Linked DNA regions of Macaca fascicularis. The protein of the gene in region 1 purifies or fractionates together with the protein of each later gene. This does not show direct contact. Links are inferred from orthologs where the notes say so. Each region holds a gene or a part of one and is shown in the gene's direction. Other genes may lie near its edges. The genes, in order: NAF1 and NOP10.

What was found.
Region 2: the proteins of NAF1 (region 1) and NOP10 purify together in Homo sapiens (co-immunoprecipitation; 6 studies listed by BioGRID and IntAct, with this or other methods). This does not show direct contact. The link is inferred for Macaca fascicularis from reciprocal best matches to the Homo sapiens genes NAF1 and NOP10.

Annotation. Positions count from the first base shown.
Region 1 is NC_088379.1:168,081,843-168,085,666, reverse strand, and holds part of NAF1 (H/ACA ribonucleoprotein complex non-core subunit NAF1), read left to right. Parts: intron 1-1,180; coding exon 1,181-1,283; intron 1,284-3,824. UniProt on the Homo sapiens protein: RNA-binding protein required for the maturation of box H/ACA snoRNPs complex and ribosome biogenesis.
Region 2 is NC_088381.1:10,628,610-10,632,128, reverse strand, and holds NOP10 (H/ACA ribonucleoprotein complex subunit 3), read left to right. Parts: upstream 1-1,494; 5' UTR 1,495-1,574; coding exon 1,575-1,628; intron 1,629-2,532; coding exon 2,533-2,673; 3' UTR 2,674-2,921; downstream 2,922-3,519. UniProt on the Homo sapiens protein: Required for ribosome biogenesis and telomere maintenance. Part of the H/ACA small nucleolar ribonucleoprotein (H/ACA snoRNP) complex, which catalyzes pseudouridylation of rRNA.

The DNA of each region.
Region 1 (3,824 bases):
TTTAAAATTTTATCCCTTTAAGATCAGTAATGAGAAATAGTGCATTAGAAGGCATACAATTATTTCATGTTTTCAAATTAGATTTCAGAATCTGAAGTGTATGGATTCCTGTTGATGGAGGATTTGATCTAGAATGTATTCCAGTGAAGCCATACTGAAAATTACATACAAAGACTTTCATATACATTTTATTTCTTCTTTTTAAATGTGTATCCATCCATACATAGTGGGCCTGCTTTCATATATTTTTTGTATGAAACATAATAAAAGTTTTCTGGTGTTAATAATAGAATAATAAAATGCCTGAACGTAGGAATGTAGATACCATGGCAGTCATAAGATATATAGCTCATAAATCTTGGTTTCCTCGGTAGATTATAAGAATGAATCCTAATTCTTAGTTGCATATGAGTTTTACCACCTTTAATTTTTAAATAATTTCCTCTTAGGAGTTGGATCATTCATGTATCTGCTTATAAAAGCCTTTGCCATGTTGGTCAGGTTGGCGTGCGTCTGTAACCCCAGCTACTCAGGAGACTGAGGCAGGAGAATCGCTTGAACTTGGGAGTCAGAGGTTGCAGTGAGCTGAGATCGTGCCACTGCGCCAAAAAAAAAAAAAAAAAAAAAAAGCCTTTGCCTATGGTCCTATCTAAATAGCTTCCTCATGATTTGTGTACCCTTATTTTCCCTCATTTATTTATAGTTCTTGCTATATACTTAAAATTATATTTAAAAAATAAGATGGTAAACCTGTAAAGAATGAACCTGTGAAATGTTTAGAACAGTGCTTGGATGTGTATTTTGAATGAATGAATTATGGAACATTGTCTTCCATTTTTTATTGGCTCTGATAATGTATATAATTTACTTAGTCCTTGATACTCTTACCTTTGGCACTCTTTTGCATCTGATACTATGATGAATCTTAAGTCTAAACTGGAAGTCAGACTCATATCTGAAGGTTGATTACTGACCTGTGTTAATTAAAGAGTCATTAAGCATTTATCAAAAAATATTTTTCTACCATGTCTAATTCAGATATAGAAAATATTAAGTATCAAAAAGGCAACTTTTTTTAGTCAATGATTAGTAATAGGCTTGTTTTCTTCACCTCCAAGTATGTACTATTGAATTGGCAAATCCATGTAACATAAACTTACTATATACTTTTCTCTGCAAGGCCTTAGATTTCAGTGATGATGAAAAAGAAAAAGAAGCCAAACAGAGGAAAAAATCTCAGATTCAAGGCCGGAAAAAACTCAAATCTGAATTTAATGAGCCAGGTGAGTGAATACAATATATATAGTCGTTTTTTTATCTTCATTTGCATCTATATAAGTTTATCAATAATAAAACCAAGGGAAACATCTAGGTTTTCTCTGTTTACCTCCTAGCATCCTGCTAACATTTAGAGCCCTTACATAGCAGGAGGTGTGGTAGTTTTATGAACTTAAGCAGTAAAAATGGCTTCCTGAGGTAACAGACAGACTAAACTTTGTTACTTGTGCTTGTCAGCACTTTTTTCTTAAGATACCTGTTTGCTTCCATGATCAAGTACTTGATGAACCCCTAAATCACAGTATCTTATTTATAAACATGCATTCCCTTTACCTTTTTTAAAAAGTTAAACTTTCTGAGATAACCGTAGATTCACATACAGTTGTAAAAATAATAGGAGAGGTGTTGTTGTATGCCCTTTATTCAATTTCCCCCAGTTGCAACATCTTGCATAACTATATATGGAACACTATCCCAGCCAGGGTATCGACAGGATACAATGAAGCTATACAACATTTCCATCACCAGAGAGCTACCCAGTTGCCTTTTTATAGTCACAGCCACGTCCTTACCACTCAGCCCCTCCTTTACTCATGGCAACATTAATCCATTCTCCATTTTCATATATTTTGTCATATCCAGAAAATTATATAAGTGAAGTTATACAATATAGTATGCTTAGGGAAAGGCTTTTGCCACTGAGCATAATATCTGTGCGTCTGCTGGAAACCATCATTCTCAGCAAACTATCACAAGAACAGAAAACCGAACACCGCATGTTCTCACTCATAGTGAGAACAATGAGTGGGAATGGAACAATGAGATCACTTGGACACAGGAAGGGGAACATCACACACCGGGGCCTATATTGTGGGGAGGGGACCAGGGGAGGGATAGCATTAGGAGATATACCTAATGTAAATGAGGAGTTAATGGGTGCAGCACACCAACATGGCACATGTATACATATGTAACAAACCTGCACGTTGTGCATGTGTACCCTAGAACTTAAAGTATAAAAAAAAAAAAAATCTGTGCATCCACCCACATTACTGCATGTATCAATAATAGTTTGTTCCTCTTCATTACAGAGTAACATTTCATGGCATGAATTTACCAGATTACCTAACCATTCATCCACTGAAGGACATCTAGGTTGTTTCCATTTTGGGGTTATTAGGAATAAAGCAGCTATAAATATTTATGTACAGTTTTTTTGTGAAAACAGATTTTTATTTTTCTGGAAGAAATGCCCAAGAGTACAATAGCTTGGTTGTATAATAGTTGCATTGTATGTTTAGTTTCCTAAGAAATTGCCATATTGTTTTTCAGCATGGCTGTACCATTTTACTTTTTTTTTTTTTTTTTTTTTTTTTTTTTTTTTTTTTTTTTGAGACAGAGTCTCGCTTTGTCGCCCAGGCTGGAGTGCAGTGGCGCGATCTTGGCTCGCTGCAAGCTCCACTGCCTCCCAGGTTCACGCCATTCTCCTGCCTCAGCCTCCCTAGAAGCTGGGACTACAGGTGCCCGCCACCACGCCCGGCTAATTTTTTTGTATTTTTAGTAGAGACGGGGTTTCACCGTGTTCGCCAGGATGGTCTTGATCTCCTGACCTTGTGATCCGCCCGCCTCGGCCTCCCAAAGTGCTGGGATTACAGGCGTGAGCCACCGCGCCCGGCCCCCATTTTACATTTTTATCAGCAATGGATGAGTGACAATTTCTTTGCATTTTCTCCCGCATTTGGTGTTATCACTCTTTTTAATTTTGGCCATTTTGCTAGGTTTGTAGTGCAAATATAATTGTGGTTTTAATTTGCATTTTCCTAATGGCTAATGGCATTGAACATCTTTCCATGTGCTCATTTACCGTCTCTATCTTCAGTGATATGTCAGTTCATTATCTTTTGCCACTTTTAAATTGTATTTCTGAATTTTTACTGTTTAGTTACGAGAATTTAAAAATGTGTATTTTAGATGCTCGCTTTCTGTCAAATATGTGGTTTGTTCATGATTTGTCTAGTCTGTAGTCTTTTCCCTCTTTTAAGAGGGCCTTTTGCAAGACCAAAGTTTTTTAGTTTTGAGGAAAACTATCAATTTTGTTTATGGAATCTGATAACTTCCTGCTTAGCTTTAGATCCTAATGATTTTCTTCTGTTTTTTTTCCCTAAAAGTTTTGTAGTCTGTTTTAAATTGTACACTTGTGATTCATTTTGAATTAAATTTTGTATGGAATGTGAGGTTAGTCTTGAAATTGCGTAGAGTGATAACTCCTACTTTATTTTTCTTTTTCAAAATTATAATCGGTATTCTAGGTCCTTTACCTTTCAGTGTAAATTTTAGAATCTTATCTACATCAACAAATGTCTTGCTGAGGGGTTTTTTTTTCTTTTTTTTTTCTTTGTCTGTTTTTTGAGATCTTCTTACTCTGTTGCCCAGGCTAGAATGCAGTGTTACAATCATAGCTCACTGTAACCTTGAACTTCTGAGCTTTTTTTCTTTCATTCTCCTGACAGTATCTTTCATGGAGCAGAAATTTTTAAGTTAATGAA
Region 2 (3,519 bases), on another chromosome or scaffold:
ACCCCTTACCCCTTTCTCCTGTAACTAGGTTCTCTATCTCAGAGGAAACCAGTATCATCTGTTTCTTGTGAATAATTGCAGAGATTTTTTATTCAACTACAAGTAAATACAAACCATATCTTTTTTTTTTTTTTTTGGGACAGGGTCTCTTGCTCTGTCACCCAAGCTGGAGACCAGTGGCGTGATCTCAGCTCACTGCAACCTCCGCCTCCCGGGTTCAAGCGATTCTCCTGCCTCAGCCTCCCGAGTAGCTGGGACTACAGGTGACCGCCAGCACGTCCCGCTAATTTTTGTATTTTTATTAGTAAAGACGGGGTTTCACCATATTGGCCAGGCTGGTCTTGAACTCCTGACCTTGTGATCCACCTGTCTCGGCCTCTCAAAGTGCTGGGATTACAGGCCTGAGCTACTGCACCCGGTCACAAACCATATTCTTTTTTTCAGACGGAGTGCCACTCTGTCACCCAGGCTGGTGTGCAGTGGCGCTATCTCAGCTCGCTGCAACCTCTGCCTTCCCGGCTCAAATGACTCTCCTGCCTCAGCCTCTGAAGTGGCTGGGACTACAGGCGCCCACCACCACACTCAGCTAATTTTTTCTGTATTTTTAGTAGAGACGGGGTTTCGCCAGATTGGCCAGGCTGGTCTCGAACTCTTGACCTTGTGATCCGCCCGCCTCAGCTTCCCAAAGTGTTGAGATTACAGGCGTGAGCCAACGCGCCCGGCCAAACCATATTCTAAAAAAAAAAAAACCTTGCAGGTTTTTCTGGTTACACAACATATATGCCAACGCTTTTGTCATTATAAATAAGGCGTAATGATGATCTTTGTAATTATATTTTGGTTCTCATTTTCATTTCTTTAAACGAATAAGGAGAACTTCTATATTCTTTAAAAAATTGTAAAATCTCCTAGAAGGTGCACTTTATTACGCTATTATTAGCTACTCACCACTGTAAGAAAGAGCGCTGAATTTGCGGTAGGGACCTAAGTTTAAATCTTGGTTCGACCGCTGAAACATACTTCGTTTCATAAAATAACTTTACGCTATTTTCGCTTTACGGAATATTGATACTCAACATGCATTCTTTACCGCCAACGTTTTGAAATGGAGCAGGGAAACTGGATGTAAAAGAGGGGAGGGAAGAAAACCTCTTCCTTCTTCCCTAGGGCAAAGGGGCTCTGAATCCTGGAGCCCTTGTTTCTTCAGGCACTGGAAACTCACTGCTCCTGAAATGGGTATGTATCTTGAGATAAAGACAAGCTTCTATACGTCAATGTTCTATCCACATCCATCCCTACCCCCCTCTAGCGCCGTGTACCTAGCACACAGTAGGCACACTCCACGTGTTTTAGCCTGCAAAGTTGCAAGTGTGGCCCCCCAAGCCAAGCCCTGCCCTCGTGCGCCCCCTTCTGGCTAGCTGAAAATAAGGCAAAAATTGACTACATTTTCCGGCGTGCCAGGAGAGAGACTTCCGGCTATGCAGGAAGGAAATTGACGAACACGTGACGCGGTCGGGCGGACCCCTGCAGACGGAGCAGCGGAGCGAATTGGGACCTCTGGCTTACGAGCAGTCATGTTTCTCCAGTATTACCTCAACGAGGAGGGAGATCGGGTCTATACGCTGAAGGTGAGGAGAGAAAACAGGTTGTAAATAGGCATGGCGAGAAATGTAGATGGGAGGAATGGGTGAGGCCATACACGGAGTTACCTAGCTGGGTGGAGGGAACCAGAAAGTCCAGAACCGAGGTGGGGGAGAACCGGGAGCGCGCGACGAGTTTTTTATTTAAAAAAAAAAATTGGCCGGGCGCAGTGGCTCACGCCTGTAATCCTAGCACTTTGGGAGGCCGAGGCGTGTGGATTACCTTAGCTCAGGAGTTAGAGACTATTCTGGGCAACACGGTGAAACTACGTTTCTACTAAAATACAAAAAATTAGCCGGGCGTGGCGGCGTGCGCCTGTTTTCCCAGCTACCTGGGAGGCTGAGACAGGAGAATCGCTTAAACCCGGGAGGGGGAGCTTGCAGTAAACCCGGATAGCGCCATTGCACTCACTTTTCTTTTTTTTCTTTTTTTTTTTTTTTTTAAGACAGGGACTCGCTTTGTTGCCTAGGCTGTAGTGCCTCGGCTCACTGCAACCTCCGCCTCCTGGGCTCAAACAATCTTCCTGCCTCAGCCTCCCGAGTAGCTGGGACTACAGGCGTGCGCCACCACACCTGGCTAATTTTTGGTTTAGGGTTTTTTTGTTTGGTTGGTTGGTTTTGTTTGTTTGTTGTAGAGACGAGGTTTCGCCATATTGCCCAGGCTGGTCTCAAACTTCTGACCTCAAGCCATCCTCCTGCCTCGGCCTCCCAAAGTGCTGGGATTACAGGCGTGAGCCACCGCGCCCAGCCTTTTTAAGTTTTGTATTTCTCTATTTATTTGTACAACTTTTTGAGCTGATCATTGCATCTTCTGTTTTCATGTTTGCCCTTTTTCGCGCTGTCCCCACCCCATCACTCCTGTACTGACATTCATTCTCTATTCCCGGAGCAGAAATTTGACCCGATGGGACAACAGACCTGCTCAGCCCATCCTGCTCGGTTCTCCCCAGATGACAAATACTCTCGACACCGAATCACCATCAAGAAACGCTTCAAGGTGCTCATGACCCAGCAACCGCGCCCTGTCCTCTGAAGGCCCCTTAAACTGATGTCTATTCTGCGGCCTGTTACCCCTCGGAGACTCCGTAACCAAACTCCTCAGTCTGTGAGCCCTGATGCCTTTTTGCCAGCCATACTCTGTGGCATCCAATCTCATCCTGGTGATTGAGCATGCTTGTGTGAGGCAGTCATGGTGGCATCACCCATAAAGGGAACACGTTTGACTTTTTTTTTCGTATTTTAAGTTACTACCAGATTATTAAAGATAAAATGATTTGAAAAGCTCTTATTTTGTGTTGTTGGAGGAAAGGATTGGTAGTATTGTTTTAAAGGGAGGGAGATGATGGACGAGAGTACTCCAGAGAGTTGCAACAATACGACTTGGAAGAAAAACTTCAGTCCTGTAGCAAGAGTGGTCATGTGCTGTTAGTGGTAGGAGGGTATTGGGGAAGAAAGATTAAGACTTTCACAGCTGTCAGCATTCACTGAAAAATACCCCTGTTGTCACGTAATTTCTCATCCCTTGAAATAACATTTTGATTAAAAATGGAAGAGTACTTGAAAAAGTAATAGGTATATTATAGAGAGAAGGCAGTGAATTGAAAGAAGACCAATATTTCCTTTTTGTATAACTTTGAGAAAGTTACTTAACCTGTTTAGTCTGATTTTTCTCCTTATTAACTTATCTTTGAACTCATTGATTTAGTGGTGGGCTTTTTTTTTTTTTTAAGACAGTCTCACTCTGTTGTCCAGGCTGGAATGCAGTGGTGGATGACTACAACCTCCGTCTCCCAGGTTCAAGCAATTCTCCTGCCTCAGCCTCCCAAAGTGCTGGGATTGTAATCCCACCTTGAGATTACAATCCCACCTTGAGACTACA